4 linked regions of the Struthio camelus genome follow. The protein of the gene in region 3 interacts with the protein of the main gene of each other region in a pairwise test. Links are inferred from orthologs where the notes say so. Each region holds a gene or a part of one and is shown on either strand. Other genes may lie near its edges. The genes, in order: PDHX, ECPAS, AGTRAP and tyrosine-protein phosphatase non-receptor type 9.

Region 1 (7,206 bases), on a different chromosome or scaffold from region 3:
AACACCAGTACCTCAAGAAATGCACCAGAATGTTGTTTAATGTTTTACAAGTTGTAACAGCAAATGGAGTTGGGGAAGAAAGGCTCAAATCTCACCTGGCATCCAAAATTCTTCCCATAACTCTTTGAGAGAGAGGAAAATATGCAAGGAGATGATCTGCCTAGCAATTTTCTAAAAACAAACTCCTGGGAATAAAAAATGGTACCTTGAAAGGATGTTGCCCTGACCCCATAGGTTGACTTCTATGTAGTTTTCTAAGCATGCAATGAATAAATTTAAATTCCTTTTCTCCATTTAAAACAAACAGGCAAAAAATACATGAAATAAAGCCTCTGAATCCTTCTCCAACTACTTGAAGCATCACTGGTAGAAGAAAAAGATGATGGAGAATCTCCAAGCACTGGAAAAAAAAAAAAAACCCTTAATTTAGGCTGCCTCCTTCTACTTACGTGCTTAACTATACTTACAATTAAGAAAGTAATCAACTGTTCTCAGTCATAAACATCCTTTTTTTTTTTCTTGGCCTTATCCTCAACAGAATATTTTTTACATTTGAAGATTTATTCTCCCATCAATCTTTTTTACCCTCTGGACTCCAACTACTTCAGTTTTTCCTCACTGATGACATTTTCTTGACCCCTCATAATTCTCGCTCCTCTGTCTGAATTCTGTCCAAGCAGCCCATATCTTTCTTGGATACTTCCCAAACAGGCAGCTGAGGAAAAATTTTGTTTGAGGCATTCCGAGTACAAAGTAGAGTGGAAAGAAGACTACCACATGTCCCCTACATGACACTCCTAGCTTTTCCAACCCAATATAATTTTTGCAGCATGATGATGATACAGGCTTGTGCTTAATTTACAATCTACTGTAAAACCCAGATCTCCCTTGCAACATTATGACTGTCATGTCCTATCCTGTAACAGGCATTTCTTTCTATGCTTTGCACACTACTTTTCTCAGGCTGTTCTACCTAATTTGCTATGATCAATTTAAAGTCTAATCCTGTCCTCAAAATACATTTGCAATCTCTCCCATCTCAGATGCATCTCAAATGGAAGGGAAGTATTCATTCCATTATTTAGGCTTCTAACAAAAATGGCAATTAAAACCCAATTCCAGACATGAGGTCCCTGATGGACCTCATGCAATACATCTTTCCAGTTTTACAGTGAACTATAATTATTCCTTGCCTTCCCAACCACTTTGAGCAACCCTACAGAGACTCCTTGAGGCCATGTTTCTATAGCCTGTTTATGAGAAGTATGTAGGAGACAATGCCAAAGCCCTATGAAAAATCAATCTTTCCCAAACAGACAACGCGGTGCCCCAGTACAAAAGGCTGTCAGACTGGTCTGATAAAAAAAGGTTTTGATAGGCCTTCTCAGTGCTTACAAGTCTGGTTCGTTGGTTAACTGCAATCTCTGAAAAGATTCTTCTCTTCACTGGAGAAGACTTGCATATAATTCCTTCTTTCTTTTATTATAAGATAGTGGAAAAGAACAGAGCAGCTTCAGCTTTGTCGTTCAAAATTGCTCAACTACCATCTGACACAATACTCACCTGCCTAAATGACATCTGACTTAACCGAATAACCTTCTCCCTTCACCTAGTCTAGCACCGACCAATAGTTTTGGGCATTGGTGTAACCTTTTTGTAACGGTTTAATTGAAAAAGGAAAGACTTTGATCTTGTGTACGTTTCCTTGTATAACAAACTAACTCTTCTCTCTTGTACTAATTTATTTATAAAATATTTCTTTACTGCATCTACCAGACAAGAATTACATCATTCTGTGCTGTCACCTTTTCGATTTTATTCCTCCTAGTAATTTGACCAGGGTTTCTGCTTTTTGTTTGCTTGCTTGCTTCCTTTCAAAATTACTGATGAGTTATAACTTCTTCCAAATTGACCATTTCTTATGTTTTCTTTTCTTCTTCTATTACATGAAGTCCTCCTTTTCCACATGATTTTTCACATCAGTTAGAGTAAAAAAAGTAGTATCTTTTTCTAAAAATTACTCAATTTTTTTTAAAGCCTAGATGCTATAGTCTTTAATCCTGTTGTCCTAGATGTCATATGGAAATATTTGTCCGGGCTCCTAAGATAATTGGAAAATAAATTATTTAAAATAATACCTAAGCTTGCATTCTGTAGAAACAGACAATAAACCTAACTTTGCCAATAAGAAGGGAATTATTCCCAGCAGATTACAAAGGTGGTACCCTTTAGATTGGGCCACCAAACTAACAGAGAACCTGAGTGTGGCAGCCTTCACCTGGTCTTAGTGTCAAGAAGCCTGCTTTGACAATGAAGCAAAATAGCATTTCAGTGTTAAATGCTAATTTGACCCCTTAACATGCACGGTATGTTTTTGGGGGACTTCTATACTCAACTTCACCCTCTGGGAGAGGAAGGACAAAGAAGGAAGAGTATGAAGCTGGGGACAGAGAGCAAAACACTAAAAACAGAATTTGGGAGCTATACAGCAGGAAAAAACCGTAATAGTTGAAAAACTAGCAATTTTTTTCATCAAAAACCAGAGCAACGCTTACCAGATAATCAGCAAAACGCCCTTGTGCTTGTACCTCCAGAGGCTAGGCCAAGCAGCACCCTGCCAAGCTATCCCATTTCCACAGCCTCTTCCCTCTTTTCCAACAGGACTTCGCTGCTAGTTTTCTCTGCTCACTACACCACCAGGCCCACTCGGCCCTGCCGCCCTACACCTCTTTGCCGAAGGCGGCCCTCTCCTCCAGCAGCCCCGGCCCCCCAGCACCACCGACCCTCCCCCCTCAGGCCTGCAGCAGGCCAACGGCGCAGGGCCCAGCCCAGACACTCACCCCGCAGCTCGTAGGTCCCGTGCAGGAACCTCCAGCCTCCTCGAGCGGGGCGAGAGGCGCCAGCGCCCAGAGCCGGCCGCCTGCCCAGCAGCAGCCGCATCACCCCCCTTCCCCCACCGCCCAGCCACAAGGAGGCCGCCATCTTGCTTCCCTTCGCGGCCCGGCCCGGCCCGGCCCCCCTGCGCCGCCGGGGCTGCCCCACTCGCTGCCTGAGCGGAAAGCGCGGCCGGTCGGGCCCGCCTCGGCCGGACGCGCTCGCAAGCGCGCCCCGCTCCGGCCCGCCTGGCGGCCGGCACAGCGGCGAGCCGGGCTGCCCCCCACCAGCGCCGGCCGCGAGCGCTCCGCCACCCGCCGCCTGGCTCCTGACCGCTCTTAGCGCCCCAGCTGCGCGCAGCCGCCCGCCCCCCCGCAGGCCTCTCCCCCGCCGCCCGCCTGGAGGCGAGGCGCCGAGACCCTCTCCGTCCCGGTCAGCCCCGCCGGGCTGAACGCCGCGCGTTACGGCCTGCGCCGGCCGGTGCCCCGCAGCCAGGGGCAGCGGCAGGGACGCGCTCGGCAGGCGCCCGCGCGGCCTCCCGGCCCCGCAGCGCAAGCCCCGAGAGAGGACCCCAGGCGGGCGCTATGGCCGCCGCCAACGGCCGCGACAGCGCGCAGGTAACGAGAGGGCGGGCGCGGCCGTTGGTGGGGGGGGGCGGGTGCCCTGCCGGCCCCGCCGCGCCGAGCCGTGCTGCCGCCGCATCCCCCTCGGGTCAGCGGGCGCTCCAGAGCAGCGGTTGGTGGTCGCCGTGGCTGAGAGTGTTTTTGCAGCCTTTGCCGTTAGCCATGAGAATTATCAAAGCACGGCTTGCTAGGAAAGAGCGAAAGGATCGGTTCAGTCAGGAAAAGAAAACAGAAACTGAGGAGTAAGTGGAGTTATTTTCCCAGTAGGTGAAATACTGTCACAGAGAGGAAAGGGAAGAAGCTCTTCTTTATGTCCATAGTTATTTGGAGAAGAGATAACGAGCTGAAGTGTCAGCAAGCAAGGTTTAGGTTAGGCAATAGGAAAATATTCTAATTTAGGACAGTGAGACGGATTGTCTGAGGAGTTCGTCACTGCCTGTCACGGTGACGTTGTCCTATTTTGAATAGGCTACAATGGGAGTTTCCAAACCTTCTCAGACCTGCGCCAGACTGTTCTCTCTGTGACTCCACCTTCCCTGTCCCCTTCCTCAGCACCGCCGCACCGTTTCGCACCCTTGGCTGCTGCTCCCAGCCGGCCGGCGCAGCCTCCTCGCTTTGGGGTGTGCGAGTCCGGCACCGACGGGAAGCGTTTCTGCGCAGCCAGCAGCCCTCCGTAGCAGGTGCGGCAGGATGCGAGCTGTCCGCCCCTTCAGGGAGGCTGGCCTAAATGCTCGCCTCTCTCTGCTGGGCTTCCAAAGACCAGGAAGAACGATCCTTCAGGGGCCACAAAATCCCAGCGCCCCTTTAAAGTCTTAAGCTCTTACTTTAGACGCTCGAGAACTGCTCGGTAATCTTCAGCTTTAGAGTCAGTGAAGTTCCCGGGGAGGGGGAGGTAGAGAAGAATGACAACAGCATTTTTTTCCTTTATGTTTCAGAAAGACTATCGATAGTCAGTAATAACCTTCTTACCAGTTTTGTTATTTGCTAGCTATTTGTTGCTTTTGTTTTTCATACTCTGTGAGTGCCCCCTTAACGTGGGATCCTGCTGCTCAACATATTTCTCTAGGAAATACCGTTTCGTGGATACAAATGACTAAGCTGAGCAGCACAGCTGCTAATCACTTGTTATATTTAAAAAGTATTAAAGGTTTTAATTGCTGTAACAAATAAAACTTTAAAGGAAAAAAGGCACACAACAAGTGATAATTTTCAATTGGAGGTCTATACTTGCTGTGAAAGTTTATAGTCTGAGGCTTTTACATGGTGTAGGAATCCTGACCACACTGTTTTCCTGTCCCTCCCTTACAATTATTTCTTTTTTTCTTACCTTTAAAAGTCCTTTCTGAATTGTAAAATCTTTATATGGTGTTGAAGGCATTGCAGAAAACAGACGTTCTTAAAGGATCATTATTTTTACTGCTTTTGTTACTTCATCCCTTTCTGTGCCATGTACAGATTTTAAATAGTAATCTACCAGCTTATTAATGGTACCTTTCTCACTTCAAATATATAGTGCAGAACCATTCATTTTTACCACATCAAACTTTTCAGTGTGTAGCTATTCAAAAGAAACCTCACAGGTTAGTGTGAAATAAGAACTGTATGATTTCATCTATGTAGTCTATGCTTATTTCTCAGAAAATGTATTTCTAAGCACTTTGTGAAGGGGAGGTACGTATTTAAAGGCACTGTTTATTTACCATAATATCTTAAACAGTACAACTATATTGTAGTTCAGTTTCATATCTTGTTGAAAACTATCTCTAAAAGTCTTGCAAATGGGCTCATTCTGCAAATAGCCTGGGTCCACCTTGATTTCCATTACATCAGTTTCACACTGTATTGTTACTGTTATTTTAGGTTTTGTAGTATTAGGTGTATGCACTTGAATAAAAAAGGGGAAAAACAGTTTTCTTTGAATAATGACAGTCTTTCTGTAAAAAAGCAATAATAATTTTATCAAAAGATTTGACTTTGACACCAAAAATATGAATTTTAAGTGAATGCTTTCAGTCAGTTACTCTTTTGAAATTTATCAGCAAACTTGTTTTTCAGAAGAATAATTTGATAGCTGGAAAAAGCAGTCTTTTTTTTTTTTTTTTTAAGCTCATGGAAATTTGTGAAGTTTTCCTTAATACCTAATGTGGAAAAATTAGATGAAAATCGTAAAAGCCAGCTAAATTGTTCATATTGGCTGTATCAGAGAACTAGTGGGCCAGATCCTGAGTTAGAGGTATAAAGAGAGAGAAAACCAATGGCATCTGCATTTTAACTTGCACTCATTTTTTAATTGATTTTCTAATTGAGATTTGGCAAAGAATAATCCTGTTGATTTGCCAGCTGCTTTTATATGTATTCGCTCCTAAGCCTATTCCAGGAAATAGCCTCTTTAGTTATTTTAAAACATGTTAAATAAATAGGTTGTGGTTATGAGTAGTATCTGCTGATCCTGGAAGAGTACTGTTAAATACTGAGGGTTGATTTATAATCCTGGGATTCTTCATAAAAATAGTTGGAACTCCTTAATAATATGTGGGTTTTGTATGCTTTTGATGAAAGCAGCTTCTGAATTTGAACTGTAAAAAAAAACCTTTGTAATGATTTTAAAGTGATTAAAAGCAATCATCTTCTCGCATTAATTATTGTCCAGAATCACCAGTGAGGGAAAATATGAAAGAACTGGAGGAATGTCATAATATAGCTTTTTCATATCTATATACATTCAATAAACAATAGCCATGTAAAACTATTTAACATGAGTTTATTCCATCAAAAGTAGAAGGGAGATAATTTTCTTTGAAATGAAAAGTATCAGTGTAGTACATAAGTTAGAAATACACAGTGATGTTATTTTAAATAAAAGACAAAACAAGATATTGTGGGATTCATAATTTTTATAGCAGGCAAATTTATAAAATAATAATTCTGTATAAATAAATTTGAACCACAAAGTGGGGACCTATAATTTACACACACTATGCACTTTTTCATATTTGTAAACATAAGATACATGCACTAATATTCTCAGAATCACAGTACATTTCAGAGGCATTAGTATTTGAGGAACATTTAGCTAGCCAGAATATTACTCCTTCAGTGAAGGAGAACTGAAAAGGAGTGGTTTCATTTTCAGCTGTGTGAATGGGGAGGAGGCTCAGAATGTTTTCACTCTGAATTTAGAAATCTGTTTATTTCACCTGTTTTTTGTTTTGGATTTTTTCTTTTTCATGTACTATTGTGTGTAGCATTTCATTTGTTTTAAGTAATGTGAATTAGTACAGGTTTATGGTGCTTTAAAAATCTAGCTTCTTGCATAGATTTCTAGGAATGCTGCTTAGAGTCTTGTTTCTGACTTTTGGAATGAATCAACAGGTGATTATTTCGTATTATTAAAAGAGACCCTAAAGAGTAGAAACAAAATCAGAATAGTTAGAAATAACATCTGCAGTGAACGTCAGTTCTTCAGAGATAGTAGCTTCAGAAACAAGTGTCACCGAAGAATATGGTACTACACTCTAAGCTGAAGATGGGAGTATTGATCAGGCTTGATACATATATACAAAGAATTATTTGAGAGTTGTCTGCAATAGTAGGGGACTGTATTTGATGTCATAAGAGTTTTTTCCAAACTAGCTTTTCTAAGCAGAAATTCAGCAACTTTTCATGAAAGCAATATAAGAGGGGTACTATGTTCTGCGTAATTGCTGAT
Region 2 (6,891 bases), on a different chromosome or scaffold from region 3:
GAGAATCTGCAGTCAGCATTAAAAAAAGTGGCAAATAGGCACTGCACTTTCTGCTGTAAGTTATACTCCAGAGATATCCTGTTTTAGAGACTTGTCAATACATTCCTTAAAGTGATTAAATTTGGTACTGATCAGGTCTGAAGAAGATGGTGTGTGTTGGTCACGCCCTTTCTCCCTCAGTCCTAGGCTTCAGGTAACAGCAGCCCCAAAACTTATATTTAAAGTGGCTTAGGATACAGATTTATTTCTTTGGAGAATATAATACTTCAGCAATAACAACTGTATCCCCAAAAAAGAGAACGGGCAGGGGGAGAGGGGAGAGATTCCTAAATGTTTGCTTGCAGTCTGTCTTAACCCGTAGCTACCTAAGAATCAGAGGCAGATGCCTGAGAAGGTGTGCTCATGTGGCCATCCCCAGCAGTCATTCCTGGGCAGCAGTGGCTCTGTGGTCTCAATGTGCAGTTCAAACAGATGATCACAGAGTGGGGTCCAAGGAAGCTGCAGCTGCAGAGGTGGGTGGCAGGGTTCACTGATGATGGAGTTGTGCCATGTTGCAGGCAGGGCTGTGCCTTGTGGACACTTTCCATAGTACGTAGGTCAAATGATGACTTTCACTCACTCGTCCAGGAGGTCAGTAGTTCCTGGGGAGGGAAAAAGAAGACTTAGGTCTTGGATCATAGCCAAGCCTCGGTAATGATTAATTTCACTTCCAAAGTGTCTATAGTTTCCCATGCTCCTTTCCCTTAAAGGTGTTGTAAAGTAGCCCAGCAATTTCTGAATGATGGCTGTTGAATTCTCACCCGATCTCACCTGAGCTGTCCAAGGCACTCGGATGGTGTTGATTCAATGCAGAGGACTATTCAAAACGTTTGTATACCAGACTACCACTAGGTGTATGGTGAGAGTTTAAGGCTCTCATGGCCTCCCACAAGTTTTATCGTCAATTGGTAGCACTGTTAAACCCACGTGAGTTGTTCTTTAAGTAACCTGTTCTATCCTGCTACTTACTATACTATTAATTTAAGGGACTGTGGAGTAAATGGAAAGTCCACTTAACTCCATGCTTGAGAGACCATTCTTGTACTATTTAAAATGCAACCCATTATCTGACTCTGTGGCATTGGGTGCATAGCAAACCGCCAGTTTCATCCTACTATAGCCACCAATCTGGATGCAGTGTGCGTGTAGGTAAACATTGCCCGAACTGCTCACTACTTTAACACTCATCATAATAAGTTTCCACCCCTTGGAGATACATATCACAGGTCCAATGCAGTCTATTTGTCAAGTACCCCAAATGACTTTTTCTTCCCTAAGGTTTGCTTGTTGTTGACTTTGGACAAGATAATCCTTCATTTCATTACCAAATCCACAAGTTTTCACTGTATGAATTGTTTGTTGCTTAGTAATCAGCCAGCCCCACCTTGCTGCATGCTGACAGAGGTTATATGCTCCCGTGTGTCCCAGCTGTGCACACAGCCATTTACCTCACCATTCAGTTCTCAAGGTAGAAGGAAAACCTGCTGCATTTAAGTGGGCAGCCATATTGTTCAGTTTGGCCAGCAGAGTGCAATTTTTCTGGTGTGCTGCTACACACCCTATAATCGTAGAACACGAGTTAGTGACACTATGTATTTGTTCCCAATATTCCCTTCCCCAACCATCTCAAAGACCTTTCTGCTAACTGCGTTTTGCCCAAATTGCTAGCCATTGTGTTGCACCAGCCCAAACAGCAAAAGAATCAGTGTGTATAGTGTGTGCGCTATTTCTGAGAGCCAGCACCACAGCGGAGAGCTCAGCTAACTCAGCAGAACCTTCTGTTTGCTCAGTCACTGTTCACTTATTGGCATATAGCGTCAGCCATTCCTTGCCATTTACCCTGCATTTTGCAAGTGCTTCCATCAGTGAAGCAGACACTATCTGGTCAAAGGGGGTTGAATTCATGGGCATCCAAGATAGGAGAGCGTGGCGGCTCTGTGTATTCAATGGGCATTCCTTGGAACTGGGAGGACCTTGTTGCCGTAGTCCCCACCAATATCCTTTCTCCACTTGGATATGTAATAGGAGGGGCCACATGGGGGTGGATGGGTCCCAATGATGGAGATACACTTAACGTTTTCCTTAAAAAGTCCATAGCCATGTCCGTGTTGTGGGATCCGTATTGCATTTTTCTTTACTCAGTTATAGAGTGGTTGGGCTATTATACTAAATCACAGAACATGCACCCTTGAAATTCCTGAAGTCGCTAGTAACTCTCCTCCTTATTCTCAGGGATGGTAACTGTTGGATTTCTTGCAGCGCTTCAGTGTGGACTGTTCTTCTCCCACCTATCCTTCTGACTCCTAAAAAGGTGCCTTCCTGATTGAGACTGTGCTTCTTTCCTTTCAGCACCTCTTCCCCAAAGATGTGTTTGTAACAGTGTCCATGGCCTGTTTTACAGATTCTGCAGCATGGCCACTTGTTAGGACATCATCTATATATTGTACGACACTGACATCTTGTGGCAATTTTCATGTTTCTCGTGGCTAGTTCTTTAGCCAATATCGTGTGAGCTATGGGTAGGATATGTTTAAAACCTCGCAGTAAGTGAGTAAATGTATATTGAAGTCTGTGGCAAGTGAAAGCACATTTCTATCTGCCTCTGGTATTATGATAATAAAAAAATCATATATTTCACATCTAGAGTCACTACCCATGGAGAAGCTCTGCTCTGCTCCCCGCAGGGCTGTGCCATGCTGCGGCACCTTTCTGGTGCAGCACAGCAAGGCTGCAGGCAGGTCTATGCCACAAGCCCAGCAAGCAGGGGTCCGTTGTGGAAAGGACTGTGCTGTGTTTCAGGTTGAGCTGTGCCACACATCTGGCAAGGCAGGGTTGTGCCCCACTGCAGCCAGGGCTGTGCCACCCTGCAGGCTGTGCCACACGCCTGGCAAGGCTGTGCCACGCTACAGGGCTGAGCCATGCTGCAGGCCTGGCTGTGCCCCGCTGCAGGGCCGTGTCTCCCTGCAGGGCTGTACCCCCCTGCAGGGCCGTGCCCCCCTGCAGGGCCAGGTCTTGCTGCAGGGCCGTGTCCCCCTGCAGGGCCGTGTTCCCCTGCATGGCCGTGCCCCACTGCAGAGCCATATCCCGCTGCAGGGCCGTGCCCCCCTGCAAGGCCGTGCCCCTCTGCAGGGCCATGTCCCCCTGCACGGCCCTGTCCCCCTGCAGGGCCATGCCCCCCTGCAGGGCCGTGCCCCCCTGCACGGCCGCGCCCCACTGCAGGGCCGTGTCCCCCTGCACGACCGTGTCCCCCTGCAGGGCCATGCCCCCCTGCAGGGCCGTGTCCCCCTGCACGGCTGTGCCCCACTTAATGGCCGTGTCCCCCTGCAGGGCTGTGCCCCCATGCAGGGCCGTGTCCTGCTGCACGGCCGTGTCCCCCTGCAGGGCCGTGCCCCACTTAATGGCCGTGTCCCCCTGCAGGGCCGTGCCCCTCTGCAGGGCTGTGGCCGCCCCCCGGCCCCTGCCATGCGGTGGGCAGGGCCGCGCAGGCTGCCGGCTCTGAGCGCAGCGCAGCGCAGCGGCCGGGCCGTGCTGAGGCTGCTGGGAGCCGCTCCCGCAGACGGGGGGGGGCAGAGTCAGCCGCGCTGCTTCGCTCAGCCCTCTTCCTCCTCCTCCTCCAGCTCCTTCGTGAGCGCCGCGGAGCAGCGCCGGGGCCGTCATGGAGGTCAGCATGGACTCGGGTCAGTGCTCTCGGCGCGGCCCGGGCGCGACGGGGGCCAGGGCGGGCGGGGGCCGCCGCCCCGAGCGGAGCGGAGCTGGCGGGCGGGCGGGAGCGGGCGGCGGCGGCGGCGGCGGCGGCCGGGGCCCCCGCGGCCCCTCGTGGTGGTTGGCGCCGGGGAGTCACAGGAGGGAGGAGGAGGAGGAGGGAGCGCGGCCCGGGGCCTCCCCCCGCAGCGGCCCGTCGGCGGCCGCTCAGCGGCCCTTCCTCCTCCCGCGGCCGCCGCCTGCTGCCTGCCTGCCCCGCCGGGCAACATGGCTGCGGCGGCCCAGGACGAGCTCAGTGAGTGGCGGCCGCCCGCGGCCGTTGGCGGCGCCGCTGGGGGCGCGGCGGCTGCTTGGGGGGGGGGGGGGTCGGGGCGTCATGTCGGCTGTGACCCCCCCCCACCTCGTCTCCCGCCGCCGGGACGGGTGCGGGCGCTGGGTCGCCCTTCGGGGCTGCTCGGCCGCCTGGGGCCGGGAGGGGCGGCGGACGGGCCTGCGGAGGAGTGGCGTGTGGCGTTTTCAAGAGCTGTTTTTTGCTCTGGCTGCCTCTCCTGTCACGTAGCAGAGCTGGTTTTTCGATGAGGGCGCGGGGTTGCGGGTGGGAGGGGGGGATTGCATAGTTAGGGGATGCACGAGGCAGCCGAGCGAAGGGACCTGTGGCGGTTTTGAAGGAGCGGGTTTGGCAGCTGAGCGCAGCGTTATCCCTTCGGGCCTTCACCTCCGGCGACCGTTTTGAGCGTGTGTCAGCCCCCAGGCGTTGCTGCGCGGCGCGCAGCCTGCTGCTGCTGTTTTCTGCTGACGTCCCCCAGGGTGACGCGCTTGTTCTGCTCTTCGGGTCAGGTGTGACAGGAGCTCGGGTGCGGGCACGCTGGGGCGGGGGGGAAGGATGTCCCTTGTCACACCAGAAACACAGCGTCTCGAGGCGGGATGACCTACCTCGGTCCTTAAATCTGAGGACGCAAATCCCAAGCTGTTTATTCCGCTGCCAACTGGGATACGCTGCAGTCGTGACCACGACAGGGCCTCAGGCCTGCTGCGATCCAGGAAACTCTCCTGTCGCTTTCTCGAAGCGGACGTGTTTCCACTGGGTGAAACCGGTCCTCGACGTTTATCTGTGTGGCGTCTAGCTTCCCAGCCTCCACATCTGACGTGGCGAAAAATCAGCTCTCAACCATGTCTCTCTTGCTGTATAGCCGTTTATGTTAAACTGCTCCGAAGGGAAGAATGACCGGAGGTTGAGATTCCTGTTGAATTATTGAGTACATCATCCTGGTTAGCTGTCCGCTGTGTCTATACACGCTGTATGCAGCCATACTTCAGATCAGAGGAGTTTTTATTCAAATGGTTAGGAAAAAAGAAATTTTTTTTTTTGAAGGGAGAGGAAAGCTTTTTCCTAGCGCTGCCTCTGTCAATGAGTGGAAGGTTCTGTAACTTCAGGTAATAATTAAAGCTAATGGAAAAAGTAGTTCAGGTAAAGGAGTGCATGACTGAACAACTTCCATGTGGACCTACTGTCCTTTGTTTGATAACTGTTAAATAATCAAATTGTATCATATTTTAAAATAAGCTTGATCCTCTTTAGGATGAGGCGTATTGCCAAAATAACAATAATAATTATTACTAATTTTAAATTGGAACACTAGTTTTCCCTTTTTTTTTTTTTTATGTGTACGTTGCTATAGGAAGCTTTGGTCTGTAGCTCCAGTCAAAAAGATAAGCTTTTTGCTGTCTGCTTAAACTCCCTATGAGGATGCTTACCGCTTAGAGGAAAACTTATTTGAAAGCACTGTAAAATTGAAGGTTTGGCAGCTTAGAAGAGAATGCTAGTTCAGCAGATTTGCCCTAAAGCTTTAAGAGTTCAGATGCAAAGGAATGGAAAGTAATCTTCAGTGGGTGTAGTCAGCCATTTGAATGGAGATCCTAAATCTGACATACTGTGAAAAGTTTCGATTTCAGTATGCTGCTCAAACTTTTATATTAGCTTTTGTGTAAAATGGGAGAACAGGATAAAGGAAGAAGAGGATGAAAAAAGAAAAATACTTCTCCCCCACCAGGCTTCCCCCTCAGATCTTGCAGAATAACCTGATGATTAGCCTTCTTCTGTAAAGGCTCCCTTAAATGATTTGCATATAGGCACATAATGAATTACTAGTAGAACCAGGGATATCACCAGCAAATCTTAACTCCCTGTCTGCTGCTGCAGTCGTACTAGATAGAGTTTATCCCAAAGTCTAATAACTTTTGAACAAGAATTTAACTCCTATTTTAGTAGTGGGCCAATAAATAAAAGTCAATTTGATTTCCTAACTTTATCCTTTCTTCTGCAACCGGAACAGAGCAGAAAAAATTGCTTAGCTCAGGAGGGACTGAAATCTATATTTGAGCTTTTGCTTTAATGCGTATCCTGTCGTCCAGGTGGTGAAGCTGAAACACTGCTGTATCCAGTACTCTTTGTTTGGTATAGGATCTGCTGGAGAAAGTGTTGGGGCTGCTAGGGCAAAATGATGGTTCTTTGCACACGATTGGAGAGGGTTAGGGAAAGGGGTTGGTTGGTTGTTTTTATGAAGCGGACTTCTGGAAATAGTTTAATGTAGCAGTCCTGCAATTCTTCTGTCAAATAGAATTTAGTTTCCAGGGGAACTGAAAATAAATTCCCATTGCATGCACTGAATTTTGCTGTCCCACCCTCTGCTGTGTTTTACTAAGGGCTCAGAGTCCCTCTAGAGTTCTTAGAATATTCCCGTGTCAATTATTTAAATTATGAGATACAGTTAGCGTGCCATGTCCCACCCTCATAGTTCTTGAGTCTGTTTGCATAAAAAGAAAGGTGAATTTTATATGTGGTACTCAATTACACAAATGAGCATTGCTGAGAGGTCAGTGCAGAATGACTGACATGCTACGCAGAACATCTATAAATGGCATAGGGAGCTAAATCTTTATCCTGCGTAAAGGTGGAGAGAAGGAGCTGTACACACGAAATGGAACTGAACTCAGCTGAACTGAGAGCAGATTTTTTTTTTTTTTGGATAAAGAGAAGGAAAAACAGTGAGCTATCTACCTTAGTAAAGCCAGGCATTGAAAGAATTCATTTCCCTGATTTTAATCAAAAAAATTGATTAAAGGAATCAGGGGGGAGGGAAGCAGGTGGGG
Region 3 (7,943 bases):
TTGCAGAGTGATACTATCACTGGGTTGCATTTAGCAACTTTACCCTTCCTTCCCACTATCTCCCAGTTGCAGTGCAGTCAGTGACAGATAGTTCTGCCTTTAGAGGCCTTAGCTCTGAATAAGAGAGAGGGAGATCAATGTCATGCAAGTCCTGATTTGTATGTTCTTCTCAAATGATTGTTGGAGAAACTCTCATGAAATTAAGCATCCACACAAGCTCAGCTTCTCTGCTGTCCCCAGAGAGCTTAATCCAGAGCTTTTGCAAGGTTTTCTATTGTCTTGAAAGGACTTTGGATCAGGCCCAAACCAGCTACAGCAGGGCTCTGTGGAATAATTCTGAGAGTTAATTACAGGGCATGCACATAAGTAAGGTGAGTGACCGAGCCCCACCCAAACTCCTGCTCTGGAGTCACTGCTGTTAGCAGCCTCACAATAAATCCAAAGGGCATGCATCGTTCTGAGCCACTTCTCCAAGGGTGAGAGTCATTAGACATGGAAACGAGAGGACAGCGTGCTGATTTGACATAATTATCTCAGCAGCTGCCTGCTCTGTGAATGCAGCTGAATCTCAGGAATATTGCTGGCAGTTGCCAAAATGATGAGTGCAAGCAAGATAAGGAGGGGAAGCACAAATTAAAACACTTGGGAATCACTCTGTCTCAGGTCTGTAATAGTCTGCATTCATTTTAGCTTGGGGGTTGTCTTACTGAAACTGTCTCTCCTCCCCCCCCCCCCAGCTAATTACCCTGTTGTCAATCCACAGTGTGGAGAAGTGCTTCAGTTTCAAACCCATGCTATAATAAATTGTTCCAGTCCATGCCAGTCAGAGTTTCTACTGCATAAAGCCTGGAGAAAACATTGCTGTTCATGTGTTTTATCAGAAACAACGAGGGCTGTTGTTTTCTTGGAATGTTCTGAGTGATCACATGCACCCCTAAAACCCATTTCTGCTATCTCAATTCATTTTCTAGAGCGCCAGCAAATCTTGAAAAGTAGTCCCTCAATTACCTCTCAAAGCTCTAGTTAGATTTTAGAAAATCAGAAGAGCAGCTCTTCCCTGATGATATCAGAAAAGACTTTCATGTTTGTCAAGATCACACCTTAGTGTAACCCTCCCCACTCCTCAAATCATCTTGCCATAGACTGTTCTGCAGTGAAGCTGCAGGAGGAGGTTCCCCACCAGCATTACAAAATGCCTTCACTTTCCCCTCCAGTCCTAATGATAATGTTTCTGCTTGCTGATTTCCCACTGGGATCTCAGAGAGAGTTTGCAGAGCCAGGACAACTTCTGTATGTCCTTCCTCGCTTCTTATTCAGAAAGGCTCTATAGATAATACACGCATTTGTGCAGGGCGAGTGCCTTCATTGCTCTCAGCTCTCGAGACAAGGGCACAACTCAAAGATACCAGTGTCATCGGCAGTCTTCAGTTACCTTCAGATTAGAGCCTGAGTGAGGGACAAGAAGGGCAGAACTATGAGGGGTGAGCTTGTCTCAATCTCCACAGGCCAGATAGGGACAGCAGGGGCAACTGTATCAGCTCTGCTGCTGCCCTACAGAACTGCTGTAACTTTGTACATCAAAACTACAGTGTCCTGAAGACACAAAGGAAAGCACTTCTGCCTTCTTTGCCTCCTTTTTATGCTGTCACGAAGGGAGCCAGCTGTGTAATAGGTTTTTACCCACCCTGCAGAAGGCATATCACCAATATACTTGACGAACCAGCTATACAATGGATATTATATTAGTTGTACTCAGCTGAACTCACTTGACAAGTCTGCTACTCAGGAAAATCTCCATATCGTCTTTCCAGTCTCCTGGGTCATCTATTTCTCGCTGCAGGTCTTCTTCTTTATCTCGCTGCTTGTCTTTCGCACCATATTTATGTTGCTCTGAATTATCAAGCCTAGGGAAGGGAAAGAGGCAGCAGATTACACAGACAGACAATTTACAAGGTACAAGCAAAGCAAAGCAGAGATAAAAAACAATAAATCCCCCCGATCAGATAGGTGTGAGAGACGTGCAAATGCATAATGTCTGTCACAGTTCTCATTGTTTTCATATCCATGAGATCATGAAGACACTTCTGAGTCCCTCGAGTCCACGACATGCAAGCCCAGGATATAATAAGCAGGGCTGAATTAATTGCACAATACATTGATGAACAAAATGAAGTAAAGTGCTTTTATTGTACAAGGGGAAACGAATGCTTTGCATTAAACAGCAGTCACATCAATCCAAATTATGGCTCGCGCTGTATAAATGATAATGAGACTCTCTGTCTCACTCAGACTGAGTGAACACGTTGAAAGGAGCAAAGACGCCCACTTACTGCTGCATCTAAACAGTGCTTATACTTAAACTAGGCTGCAGCATGACAGTGGAATTTGTCTTTATAACAACATTATTCCTTTGCTAGATACCTGTCCTGGTGGAAGGGCATTCCTATTGCTGTTTTCACCCAAGCATTGAGGCAGCAATAAGGCTATTCAAAGTCTCTCTTTATCTTTTTTTTAGGTGCCACAACTTCTTTTTGCCATTTAGGGTAAAATACAGTCCTTGGCATCACTGGGAGCATTATTATTGATCCCATTTGACACCACTACTTCTGTGAGTGGAGGCAGGGCTTCCCTGCAAGGTACAGAAATGGAAAGAAAGTCACAGCTATTGGGGGATGTGGCAATAGATGAATTATTTTTCAGTCTTTCATCTGGTAAAGTGGTACAACTAGAGATTTTGGGTGCACTTTTACAGCTTTTTTTTCCTGCTGTTTAGCTGCTATGCAGCTAATCAGTTCTCTTCTGGCACTTCTGGTTACCATTTTCTGAGTTGATTCAGTTTGCCATTTAGTACTTTGTCTTGGGAAATCTCAGTGTGCTGTGTATTAGCAGTCAATGGGACTCAGTATGCAGTGAAGGACAGCCTGGATAGAGCTACATTCGTGCTTTGCCTGATGAACTGTGAACACAGGTTCAGCATTGCATCACTCATATGCATAATCTTGCACTGCACTGCTTGAACTAGAAATGGGATTGAACGATGATTCACATATTCAGCCTCTGCAATGAACTTCTGACTCCTTGCTCATTCCTCAGTGGCCCCATCTTTTCTGCTAGAATAAATAATGAGCACACCTGAATGACGACAAGAAAGCACCTGATCCAGTAATGCATTGTGGATGGACACGGCAGACAGGTAAAGTATACACTGGGCAAGGAAGGCAGGGTTTGAAAAGGAGTCAGCCCGGCTTCTTGGTGTTATTAGTTCCTTTGTCATACCTGGGGAAAAGAATGGTACTATGAACTGGGCAGGAATTCTAAAATGGGAATAGTCTTCTTTCAGAATGACAATGGAAGAATGCCTGTTTTGTACGAGGCAGCTCTCCCTTATTGGGATCAGAAAGGACTTTCAAGCGTGTCTGTCAAGAGCACACCTTAGTGTAATCCTCCCCACTCCCCAAATCCTCTTGGCATAGACTGTTCTGCTTTGAAGTTGCAGGAGGAGGAAATTGCATTAGGAAAGAATTCAGTGATCTAGTTCTAGGGAAAAATCAAAAGGGCCAAGGGATGCAACTAAGTATCTGCTAGCCATTCTAGCCACAGGGCTAGAGACTCAAGCACTCAACCCCAAAGGACAATCAAATTGAGTTGAACATGGCTGCTTTGTTGTATGATACAGCTGAGTGCAACAAACATCTTGCAATTTTTTTTTTGGTGGTGGTAGTGTTTAAGACCTCTTTTCCACTCCCCACACTTACTGTCTTTTGGTCACACTACTGATGTGTGCACAAGAGCTTTCTTTTCCTCCAGAAAGCTGCTAAGCACTAAATACACTTTAGCCTTTTGGGACCCTGACTACAGCCCAAATATGCTGTTACACCTTCCCACAGCTGCACTGCTTCTGTAAGTAGCAAGAGCTGTTTGCTTGGATGTTTGGCGTTAACAAACAAAGTGATCCCATTACCCTTCTAACCTAGTGATGGCTTTTTCTCCTCGGTGTTGCAGGTGCTGTGCAATACGTATCAGATAGCAGCAAATAAATTTAATGAAATAGGATGTCCTGGGAAAACGTCCCTGTTTTCTACTGTTTCGATTGTCCTAGATTCCTTAAGGTATGAGCACCACGGACTTTCCCTGACTACTAGTGTTAACAGCAGTACAGTTTTACATGTGAAAAGCCTGCAGAGTCATAGTGTCCCTGGAATACTTAAGTATGCCCTTTGCCACACATTCTGCTGAGATGAGAGCATCTGATGTATTTATTAAATGCCTTCATGATTAATGAAACTTGCTGTCTCTTTACTGGAAATGTCCTGGTTTTGCCGAGTCTCAGGCTAATTCAGTTAAGGCTCCTGCTCCTCAGACACCTTCCTCAAACTGCATGACAGCTCTGAGGTGAGGTGAAGCAGTCAGGAGAAACTGGACATTTTAAACTCCTATGGACACTACAGCATAGCCCAAATGCATATTCATGTTTGGCTTGCAAGTGAAGGTGGCCTACTCTGGAAGCTTTTCGGGCAACATCAATAACAGACAATGCACAAAGCAGGGCATGGAAACATCACTGCTGTCCTTGGAGTGCCCTGCAGGGCCCAGTCCCGCTCTCACACCACATCTTCACTTTCAAACCCAAACTTTTATTACTGCTAAAGGGCTGTCGCACCAGATAGCGCTGGGGATGGCAGTATCTCAGCTGAGGGTGTGCAAGGGGCGACTGAGAGGTCCCATTTCGCTGGCCGGGGCAGAGGGCACAGTTCATGGCAGGGCCTCGGCCTGCCATCCTCCTGACGTGAGGAAGGGCCGCCAGGGCCCAGGGAGCCCCCCGCAGGGGAAGTCTAGAGGGCCTGCAGTGGGCCTGGGGTCGGCCGGATGCTGACGGACGCCCCCGTCGGGCGAGGCGAGGCGAGGCGCCGTCCCGGCTCCTCCCGCCCCTCTGCCCTCCCCTGGGCGGCCCGAGACCAGCCCGTGGCGGCGGCGGGGCCCGGCCCAGCCCCACGTGAGGCGGCCCCGCCGCTGGGAGTCACGGGGCGAGCGGGCGGGCCGCTGCCATGGAGCTGCCTGCTGTCAGCCTCAAGGTAGGGGTCGCGGGGGCGTTGGGCAGAGCCAGTGCCGGCTGCCCCCCGCGGGGCAGGGTCGCCCCGGCCGAGGGGCGGTCTGCCCGCGCCGCGTCCCGCGTCTCCGAGCCCTGCACGCCCGGGAGGTGCCCAGGGCGGGCCGAGGGCCGGCGGAGGGCTCCGCAGTGAGGAGCGGGGAGGGCTGCGAGGGTCTCGGTTGAAGTCCTCGAATGGGAGGACTAGGGAGCTGGTTGGCGTCCCCGGAGAGCGGGCCATGGCCCGGCCTGCCTGGCCGATGGCCAGCTTTGTGCCCGCTTCAGGCTCGGTCAGGAGAAGTGGAAGTCTCCGTGTGGAGGAATAACTGGTACTTCTAAATCTTTTTCATCACCAGGGTAAACGTTGCAAAAACTCTTAGTCATTAAGACTGTCAGGCAGTGACCCCAAGGTTCACTTTTGCTTCAGGGCAGTTTGCTAAAGTGGCCAAGGACTGGGTTGGGACGACAACAACTGAACTAACTTGTGTCCACAGAGGTTCCTAGCTCAGCTGACCGGGGTTAATCTAGGATAAACACTACACAAGATCCTGAGGAGGCAAAGCTTTTGCTTGTCAGGCAAGATATCTTGGAAAGATGATCCCATTTGCTTCGGGGTTATCCTCTGGTAGATAACTGAAATTGCTTTTCTGGTTTCTTTTGGGGGGCAGGGAACGGAGGTAATTTGAATTTTTCACTGGATATCTGTTAACCAAAGGCATGGAAAATAAGGGACTTCTCAAAGGTATATTAGACTTTTCACTTTGGCAAGAAGTACATCCTTATCCATAAGCTAGGGGAGGCGAAAATCTTTTTTTTTTGCTTTTCATGTTGCTGTTTGAAATTGAAGCCTTCCCTGATACCACTCAGAAGAAAATTTCCTCCTTTTTTTCCTCCTTCTACCATATTTTCAGAGCTCTGAGACTTCTAGATGTGTACGTGCCTTTTTCCAGGTTCCCTAGTTTACATGTGTTGCTTGGTGCGGCAAGTTTCAGGGGCTTTCTTTGGTTATAACTTTGACCAAACGAAGACTGAAAGCATTGCTGATCTCATCTGTGGGGTTTTTTTTTTTTTCTTTTCTTTTTTTTCTGCTATTGATTCATAAAGCTGTGAGCAGTGGCCTTGGAGCTGGCTGCCTACAGGTGGGGAGAGCAGTACTGTCTCAGCTACCCTTAAGAATTCAACTTTGTATAACAAGACTTTAATGTGGCTGTTCAAAATGAAAGTTTGGAGTTCATATATTCATGGCTTTACACTCTTACTAGGTCACCAAGAAAAGCAATTTTCCTGGGGCAAGTAAGCAAATGGATTTTTCAAGGCTTGGCATGTAGATTATATTGCATTCTGGAAACCAACTGATATTTTGCTCTGGGAAATTTGGACTATTGGGTGATTCCCTGGGCACTAGGAAGATTAAAAGATCTTGTTTTCTGCTTTGTTTATAACTTGTTTCAGTTTTTTTTTTTTCTATGCTAAAACAACAGTGAAAAGCAAGGACATCTAATTAAAAGGTTTACCAATGAAATAAATGATTCACCACGGGAGACAGAGACACGGGAGCTGAAATACAGACATACTTCTTGAATGAAGGAGCCACCATGACAACATAACCAAAATGTTGCTTTTCCTCTGGTTTCATATAACCAGTCCCAAATCTCTTCCTAGATAAGAGCAAACTTGTCCTGGGCAAATGGTTTTCAGCATTAAGCAATTCCTTGTTTTAAAGTCTGCTGGTACTGGTCTGAGGGCTAGGGAGTAGTGGGTTAATAATTGTACCTGCATCTTTGTCTTGTCCCTGAGTTGGGGGCTGCTTCTCTGAAACAGATCGCCAAGATGGGGAAGGGCCTTATTCAGAAAGGGACTGAAAACAACACACACCACTGCTATTCATCAGAATGATCTGCTTAGAGTTTCTGAGAGATTAGAAAGATAAGCCTCATGATAGAAGTAGCTCCAAGAAAACGGTATGACTGAGCTGTGTTTGTGCCAGAACACAGCAATGTCTTAGCCTTAAGGCCTCTCTTCAGGCTACACGCAGAACTAAAAAATTGATGTAGCAGGCTTTTTCCTGGAGCAGATGAGGAACATTCTCATGGAAGAACATCTACTGGCTCAGCTCGCGTAGTAATAGTCAGCAAACTCAGAAGTTAGCTTTGCTTGTCATCTAGGTCAGCCTCCTGCTCCAAGCAAAGCTAACTTCTGAGTTAGATCAAATTGCTCAACTCAAAATTTAGCTCAGTTTTAAACATCTCCAAGGACAGAGCCTCTACAACTTCCCTGGATAGCCTGTTCCAGTGCCTAACCACTCTCATTATGAATTTTATCCTTGTATCCAGCTGAAATTTCCCTTGCTGTAACTGCTTTTTTTTTTGCCTCTTGTTCTTTCTTTGGGCATCTCTAAGAAGAATCTGGCTCAGTGTGCTCAACAAACATCCTTCAGGTTGTGGTTAGTCTGGGTATGAAACTGTGCACTATGGGATAATAATGAGAGGACCTAAGGAGTTCACTCACAAGTGGCCACTCGGATCTATTTTTGGGTTAGTGCATCCTCAGATGAATGTAAGCAATTCATAGAGTAGATGAGCTCACTTGCAAGAAAGAGGCAGATAATAAAAGAAAAGAATTGTCATTTGGAATCATGGCATTTTAATTTGGGCAAAATTCAACCTTATGCTTGAAGGTTCTGTGCTGAGGCATGTTTGAAAGAGGGAGGTCCCATTCCAAAGAATTTCCCATCCAACCGGAACCAGACAGACCAAGTGTCTTTTATGCTTGCCAATTAGTTCCATCACATGCTGGGATTTGTGGAGGAGCCAGGAATTCCCTTCAGCTCTCCTCAGTTTCCAATGGGATGCTTTTA
Region 4 (7,681 bases), on a different chromosome or scaffold from region 3:
GCTGCGGTCCCCGTCCTCCTCCCCGCGCTGCTCCCACCCGCAGCCCCCTCGACTGCCTGGGGCCATCGCAGGGGGCAGGGGCCGTGGAGCCGCCCCCAGCAAGCACCAGGCTGGGGCCGACCCTCCGAGGGAGACGGACGCGCTCCCCGGAGAGCGTGGCAGCCCTCTTACCTTTCTGGAGGTGGATGATGTCCGGGAAGTTGGAGAGGAGCCCCTGGTACAAAGAGAGAGTGTCCAGCATGAGGAACAGGTCGTTCTTGGGCTGCTCAGCAAACATCTCCCCCACGGTCTCGTACGTCTTGCCCGTGTGGGAGATGGCGTTGTTGAGGGCGTCTGAGCTGTACGGGGGGTCCATGTGGAAGGAGTAGCTGATGGCTTGGAAAGCATTGCCGAGCTTCTGGAACTCCTTGCGGAAACCCCCCACGTGCTTGCGCACCAGCTCCGAGGCCACGTTGGTCAGCTGCAGGACGCTGTCGTCCATCTTCTTGCTGAAAGCCTTGAAGGCATCCACACGGTCCTCCACGTCCTGCAGGTCCTGGTGCTCCGTGGGGATCTGGAGGGTGAGCAGGAAGCTGGCCCCCACCATCTCGTCCTTCTCTGCCCGCCGTTTGCCCAGCTTCCACTGCTTCTCATCGCGGCAGCAGAGGAAGTGCTGGAAGCCCTCATACTGGGAGAGGACGGGGTGGCTGGTCATGTGGTCCATCCACAAGATCAGCCGCCGTTTGCGCTTCTCAATGAAGTCCTCCTCAAAGCGGCCGGTGGCCTGCTTCTCAGGCAGGTGGGGCACCGAGATCACCGTGAACTTGTGCAGGAGGCGGTTGTACAGCCAGTCAAAGTGCTTGTACCGCCGGTAGACGGGAGAGTTGATGTTGCTGGGGGTCAGCTTGTAGGAGATGTAGCTCTTGATGCCTTTGAATTTGGTTTGCTTGGTTGGGTCCTCCACGGAGCAGATGAAGGGGTGGGGATTCGCCCGCCACTGGGGGCCTTTGGAGCCCATCTCAATGCAGTACACCTCTGCGATCTTGGACATCAGAGGCACATCGCCCAGGATGAAGGCTTCCACCCCAGAGCGGACGAAGCAGGAGAAGCGGTTGAGGTTCCTCCCCACCACGCTGCCCCTCTTGGAGGAGCTCATGCTGTCCTGCCTCTCCAGCGCCGGCTTGGGGCGGTAGCCGGCGTGCTGGTGCGAGTAAGCCGTGGGGTACTGCAGCGTGGGCGAAGGGTGCCCATTGGTGCCTGGAGTGCTCCGAGGCTCCTCCACCACTGTGCAGGCATCATCCCAGTCATCCCAGTCGTCGTCATCGTCGTCCTCAAAACTGCCCTGGTAGGAGACACTGGGGTTGGTCGGAGCCACGTAGAAGGAGGAGTCGTGCCCAGGGGAGCCGGCGGGGCTGTGAGAATAGTCCGTATAATTGGAGCCTGACCTGGACCGGAGGATTTCGACATAGGAGGCAGGGAAGAGGCCTGTCTCTCCGCGGCTGTTTTTACCCTGTAACCACCCATCCAGGGAGTTCTCGCTGAAGATCACGAGCTCCTCGTTCTCCTGGATGCTGATTTCCTCTTTGTTTTCGCTCTGGAAATTGTAAAGTGCTCTGGCTTTCAACGCCATGGCCGTTCCCAGGGGGACGGTGTAACTCAATCCCCGCAGCAAAAAAACAACAACAACAAAAAAAACAATAAACCAACAACAATACCTCCAGATAGTCCAAGGGTCGCTGCTAGACCCAGCCGTCACGCACTTCAGTGGCTTGGGACCTGCTACCGAGCTGTGGGAAAAGGCTTAGCCGATTTCACACAGAAATAAAAAAGATATAAATCCTCTAACATCTGACACCAAGGTCTGTACATTCAAGTAACTCCAGCGATCTAAGTGCACCAATTTAAGAAAACATTCCTTGGGCAACCAAAAAACATGTTTCGTTCCACTCCCTCCTTCTACGTGATATAAACCTCGGCCGGACAAACAGACATCCCGAAGTCTGCCATTTCCCCGGAGCTTTTATCTTGCTGGGTCGTTGGTCCCGCCGCCGTCTTGGTTTTAACTTACGTTAAGAAAAGATCTTGATCCAAATTAGGAAATCCAAAGTGACTTTCACAGGACTCTTCTTCGAGATCCGTGTTTAAAATACACAAATTCACTTCCCAGCGAGGAAATCCAGCGCAGCTCGGAGTCAGCGGGCGCCTGGAAATCGCCGGGAAGCAAACCCAAACACAACACAACCTCCCGGTGATCCCAGCACAAGTATTTTGCAATTCCTTTCCGGGAGGCCTTTTTTTTTTTTTTTTCTCACGAAATCCGCAGACCTCTAGTGGGACGGACGGACGGACGGACGGACGGACGGGCGGGCGGGCGGGCGCAGAAGGAAAAGGGGGAGCAGCGAGCCCAGCCCGGCCGGGGCAGCTGGCGGCGCCGGTCCCGCCGCCGCCGCGGTCTCCGCCGCCCGGTGCCCGGTGCGCGCTGCGCGGCCGCTGCGGAGCGGGGACGGCGGGCCGCGGGGCCGCCCTCAGCGCATGGCCGGGCACGGGCTCCCGGGGCCCCGCCGCCGCCGCCGCCGCCGCCGCCGCCGCCGCCGCCGCCGCCGCCGCCGCCGCCGCCCGGGCTGCGCTGCCGCTGCCCGGTGTCGGTGCCGCTTCTGCTGCCGCTGCCCGTCGCCCGCTGCCGCTGCCGGTGCCGGTGCCGGGCTCGCCGCAGCCCGCCGTGCCGTGCGGCAGCGCCCAGCTCCCCGGTTTGCGGCCCGGCGGCGGCGGGCAGGGCCCGGCAGGTCGCACGCTGCCCTCTGCAGGCGCCGGCCCGGCGGGGCCCCGCCGCCGCCGCCCCCGCCGCCGCCGCCGCCGCCGCCGCCCCGGCCTCCCCGGCCCGGCGCCCCCGGCCCGCATGGCCCCGACGTCCCCGCCCCCGGGGTCCCGGTGCCCCTGTCCCACATGTCCCCAACATCCCGTCCCCGGGGTCCCAGCACCCCTCTCCCAGATATCCCCAACGTCCCTGCCTTGGGGTCCCAGTGCCCCTGGCCCGCATGTCCTGCATGTCCCTGCCCCGGGGTCCTGGTGCCCCTGGCCCACATGTCCCTAACGTCCTTGCCCCCAGGGTCCCAGCACCCCTGTCCCACATGTCCCCAATGTCCCCGTCCCCGGGGTCCCAGCACCCCTGTCCCACATGTCCCCAACGTCCCCGTCCCCGGGGTCCCAGCACCCCTGTCCCAGATATCCCCAACGTCCCTGCCTTGGGGTCCCAGTGCCCCTGGCCTGCATGTCCTGCATGTCCCTGCCCCGGGGTCCTGGTGCCCCTGTCCCACATGTCCCCAACGTCCCTGCCCCGGGGTCCTGGTGCCCCTGTCCCACATGTCCCCAACGTCCCTGCCCCCGGGGTCCTGGCGCCCCTGTCCCGCATGTCCCCAACATCCCCGCCCCCGGGGTCCTGGTGCCCCTGTCCCGCATGTCCCCAACATCCCCACCCCCGGGGTCCCAGCACCCCTGTCCCACATGTCCCCAACATCCCCACCCCCGGGGTCCCAGCACCCCTGTCCCGCATGTCCCCAACGTCCCCGCCCCCGGGGTCCTGGCGCCCCTGTCCCGCATGTCCCCAATGTCCCTGCCGTTTCCCAGCGCCATCGTCCTCCCCTTCCCACTTTGCAGGCAGCCTTCCCCATCCGCACCCGCGGGGGGTGTCTGCCGTGGGGCGCTGGGCCTGCCCCCCACTCGTCCTTGTGCCATGGGCTGCCCGGCACTGCCTGCTTCCCAGAGCCACCGTCCCACGCCCGACCGGAGGGCCCGCGGGGGCACTGGCGGTGGTGGCTGCCCCGAAGGCACCCAGGGGGCACCCACAGCACGTCCCCCCCCGGGCCAGGGCCAGGGCCCGGGGGCAGGTAGCGTGTCATGGGGCAGGCAGGGCGCTAAGGGACGGCGCTACGGGGCAGTGCTGTGGGGCAGAGCTTTGGGGCCAGCGGGGTGTCAAGGGGTAGTGCTAGGGGGCAGGCAGGGTGCTATGGGGTGATGTTATGGGGCCGGCAAGGTGCTGTGGGGGGATGGCGGCACGATGGGCAGTTCTGTGGGGCCAACAGAGCGATGTGGGGCTGACGACTGCGCTGTGGGGCAGGCAGGGCCCCGTGGGGCCGGCGGGGGCCGAGGGCAGCGCTGTGGGGTCGGCGGGGCTCCGTGGGGCCGGCGGGGGCCGCGGGCAGCGCTGTGGGGCCGGCGGGGCTCCGTGGGGCTGGCGGGGGCCGCGGGCGGCGCTGTGGGGCAGGCAAAGCCCCATGGGGCAGGCAGAGAGAGGCCATAGGCAGCACTGTGGGGCAGGCAGGGCCCTGTGGGGCCGGCGGGGCCCCGTGGGGCTGGCGGGGGCCGCGGGCGGCGCTGTGGGGCGGGCGGGGCCCCGTGGGGCAGGCAGAGAGAGGCCATAGGCAGCACTGTGGGGCAGGCAGGGCCCCGTGGGGCCGGCGGGGCCCCGTGGGGCCGCGGGCGGCGCTGCGCGTATGATGATGGCGGCGCTGGGGCTGATGGCGGAGCCGGCAGGGGGCGGGGCGGGGCCGGCAGGGGGCGGGGCCGGCAGGGGGCGGGGCGGGGCTGTGCGCGCCCCCGCGCGGCCTGACCCGCCACATCCTGCCCGGTGCCGCCTGTCCCTCGGCGGGCGGCGGCGCGGCCGGAAGTGCGTCAGGCGCGCGGGCGGAAGGGGCGGGCGGCGGCGCGGGCAGTGCGCGTGCGCGGGCCGGCGTTGCCATGGAGGAGCTGAGCGAGGCGCTGGCGGCCCGCGTCGCCGTCTCGGCGGCGCCCAACAGCCCGGCGGCGCCGCACCCCCGCTTCGCCGCCTACAAGGCCCGCGGCCGCGGCCTGGGGCAGGCCGAGCGCCGCCAGCGCCTCCTCCGCCTCCAGCGAGCGTAAGGGCCCGCCGGGGCCGCGCCGCGGGCAGGGGGGCGGCCGGGCCGGGCCTGGGCCGCGGCCGGGCGGCGGGGGCGAGCCCGTCCCTCCGTCCGTCCGTCCCGCGGCTCACGGGGGCGGGGGGCGGTTGCGGGGACTGCGCCTCCTCCCGCCCTCCCTAGCGGCGGAGGGGTAGCCAGCCCCTAAGGAGCGCGGAGGGGCAGGGAAGTGCCCGGCCGCCTGCCGCGGAGGCAAAGCAGGACTGTTTTCTCCTCGGCAGGAGGCGGCTCGACTACGTGAACCATGCCAGGAGGCTGGCAGAGGATGACTGGGCAGGAGTCGAGAGCGAGGAGGAAGAGGAGGCGGAGGAAGGTGCGAATGAGGAGGAGATGGAGGTGGATGTTCCTCGGAAGCTGCCCAAGCGCTATGCCAATCAGGTGAGGAGCTGTCCCCATCCCTGTGACAGGGTGGGGATGGGGCTGCGGTGCTGAGCAAGGTGACGAACGTGGCGAGGTTAACGTTGTGGGGGGTCGCGGTGAATATATTCCTGTCTGGCGTGCTCTAGGTGATGGGTGTGTTGGGGCTGAGAGCAGTGTGTCCTAGCTGGGTGCTCAGTGCAGAACCACTACTCATCTCTCTTTCCTCTGAGACGTGCTGTCTTCAAATGGAGGACAGGCTGAGATGGATTGGCTGGGTTCCTTGCGAGATTTCAGCTCTGCTAGAGACACTTATGTCCCACTGTGCAATACTTGATTAAAGATTCTATCTCTCCTCCCATCAGGTACAGCTGGAGAGGAAGGGAAACCTCAACTGATGGGTGTTTTTAGCCTTGGCACTATATTGGTTCTAAAAGACCTACAGCCTCCCAGGTGATCATAGCCAGGAAATCTCAGGGGTCTGAAGAGGCTCACTTGTCTAGTCCCTTTACTCCTTTATTTAGCAATCTCTAAGGTCTGCTGCATATTTAAAATAATAATTAAAAAACAACAACAACAACAAAGGGCTGAAGCGAGGCTGGAAAAGGGATTAAGGTACTGGGATGCAAAAGTGAGTACTGTGGGTCTTGTGCTGTACTCTGAATTTCAGCTGGCAGCTGGGAAGTAAGAGAAAGGCTTGGGGGAAGAGTTTGTTTTGCAGGTTGGTTAGAAGGAGCCATGCTCCTATGGTGCTGTATTGCAGGGTGATGAGCAATACACATTGCCTCTGTGGCACCCAGTATAAACCAAGTCAAAACCTTCTTGCTTTGTTCTTGAGCTGTGAGTTTTCCATAACTTCAGGAGAGCTGTTACTAACTGCCTTTTTGGGGGGGTTTCTCCTCAGCTGATGCTGTCTGAGTGGCTGGTAGATGTCCCTTTGGATCTGGAGCAAGAGTGGGTTGTAGTGGTGTGCCCCACAGGGAGAAGGGCACTGGTTGTGGCATCCAAGGTAAGAGAGAGCAGTGGTGAAGTCTCACCACCTGGTAAAGGACCTGTATGTGTCTGTTACGTCATCATGCCAACATGACATGAAACCAAAGGCTGGCCTGTGTGTCTTGCCTGCCTTGTGCTGTGGGAGCCGTGTGGGGCTGAAACTCTCCTTGAACTGAAAGAATTTGGGCGCTGAGAGATGTGGTAGTAACAGAGCCGTATCTAATGGTGAGTACTGCTCTCCTCTGACAGGCTGCTTGGAGGTGGTTGTAACGGAGACCTGGGTTTCAAAGCCTTGGGTGCAGTCAGACGTGTGGCATGAGAGCAGGGAGACTGGCCTTGACTTTTCTCTCTCCCACTTCCTTGCAGGGCTCAACAGCAGCTTACACCAAGAGTGGCTTCTGTGTCAACAGGTTCCCGTCCCTGCTGCCGGGTGGGAACCGGCACAATTCGCTAAATGAGAAAGGTAATGATCTGAAGAGGCCATTGAAATAGATGAAGGAGAACAAGCCTGCTTCTCCGTGTGTGTGTGTGTGTCTGCCTGCATGACAGGCTCAGTGCTGCTCCTCCAGCTCCCGCAGGCCCAGCAGAGCTGTACCCTTTTCTGGTGCCAGGGATTATTAGCTTCAGCCCTGTTCGTGAATCTGTGGGGATAACTAGACATGGACGATCTCGGACACCTTTATGCTACACAAGAACAACTTTTTATCAGCTGCCTGCTCACCTGATGCTCTTAAACCTCAGCATCTTCCTCCCTTTTAAGTACCAGAGCTGTGTACAGTATCTTTCCAGTGACCCCTTGGTGCTGATGTTTCTCAAGTTAAAGGGTGTAGCTTTTCTTGCTAAGAAGGAGGATGGCCTTTCTCAATATCCCATACAGTTGCATTGCTTGCCCTGAGGAGGGTTTATCAATGGATAGGTGCCTTATTCTGAAATGTGCTTTTGATTGAAGTTCTTGAGCTTGCGGGGCTCTTAAAGCTAAGCTTTTTGTGGTCATGCCTTCTGTTCAGCAGAAGGGAGTCTCTGCCTGTCTCAGGCTTCCATCAGTGCTAGGGTTTAATGCAGGAGAGATTTGATCTAATTAAATTGCCTTTTGGGTTTGGTAGTATCTGGAGCGTGTCTGGATCTCCCTGTGTCTGTGTGCAGTTTACAGCATCTTGGACTGCATCTACAATGAGGCGCAGCAGACGTACTATATCCTGGATGTGATGTGCTGGAGAGGACACCCTGTTTACGACTGCCAGGTACTGAATCCCTCCCGTGTGCCCTGGTCTCTTTTTTGTCACCTGTTCTGTGAGCCGCTCTGCAGCCGGAGCTGGATGCAGCCCATTGTGCAGAAGGATGAATCTTTCATCTAAATGCCAGCATCTTTACAGCTTGTGGGCCAGCGGTTACTGGAATAACTGGGCAAACCTTTTGGGGAT

The links.
Region 1: the proteins of AGTRAP (region 3) and PDHX interact in binary tests that used the Homo sapiens proteins (3 or more experiments, as listed by UniProt). The two-hybrid records come from large-scale screens. The link is inferred for Struthio camelus from reciprocal best matches to the Homo sapiens genes AGTRAP and PDHX.
Region 2: the proteins of AGTRAP (region 3) and ECPAS interact in binary tests that used the Homo sapiens proteins (3 or more experiments, as listed by UniProt). The two-hybrid records come from large-scale screens. The link is inferred for Struthio camelus from reciprocal best matches to the Homo sapiens genes AGTRAP and ECPAS.
Region 4: the proteins of AGTRAP (region 3) and tyrosine-protein phosphatase non-receptor type 9 interact in binary tests that used the Homo sapiens proteins (3 or more experiments, as listed by UniProt). The two-hybrid records come from large-scale screens. The link is inferred for Struthio camelus from reciprocal best matches to the Homo sapiens genes AGTRAP and PTPN9.

What each region holds. Positions count from the first base shown.
Region 1 is NC_090946.1:34,125,985-34,133,190, reverse strand, and holds the start of PDHX (pyruvate dehydrogenase protein X component, mitochondrial), read right to left. Parts: upstream 3,015-7,206; 5' UTR 2,983-3,014; coding exon 2,841-2,982; intron 2,770-2,840; exon of another isoform or gene 2,556-2,769; intron 401-2,555; exon of another isoform or gene 206-400; intron 1-205. Other genes in the region: APIP (methylthioribulose-1-phosphate dehydratase), read left to right, coding at 3,459-3,491.
Region 2 is NC_090982.1:17,228,110-17,235,000, forward strand, and holds the start of ECPAS (proteasome adapter and scaffold protein ECM29), read left to right. Parts: upstream 1-3,884; 5' UTR 3,885-4,008; coding exon 4,009-4,036; intron 4,037-6,891. UniProt on the Homo sapiens protein: Adapter/scaffolding protein that binds to the 26S proteasome, motor proteins and other compartment specific proteins. May couple the proteasome to different compartments including endosome, endoplasmic reticulum and centrosome.
Region 3 is NC_090962.1:6,801,483-6,809,425, forward strand, and holds the start of AGTRAP (type-1 angiotensin II receptor-associated protein), read left to right. Parts: upstream 1-4,932; 5' UTR 4,933-5,045; coding exon 5,046-5,072; intron 5,073-7,943. UniProt on the Homo sapiens protein: Appears to be a negative regulator of type-1 angiotensin II receptor-mediated signaling by regulating receptor internalization as well as mechanism of receptor desensitization such as phosphorylation.
Region 4 is NC_090953.1:23,095,377-23,103,057, forward strand, and holds the start of tyrosine-protein phosphatase non-receptor type 9, read left to right. Parts: upstream 1-4,670; 5' UTR 4,671-4,713; coding exon 4,714-4,871; intron 4,872-5,131; coding exon 5,132-5,288; intron 5,289-5,632; exon of another isoform or gene 5,633-6,171; coding exon 6,172-6,276; intron 6,277-6,626; coding exon 6,627-6,723; intron 6,724-7,403; coding exon 7,404-7,501; intron 7,502-7,681. Other genes in the region: SNX33 (sorting nexin-33), read right to left, coding at 172-1,609. UniProt on the Homo sapiens protein: Protein-tyrosine phosphatase that could participate in the transfer of hydrophobic ligands or in functions of the Golgi apparatus.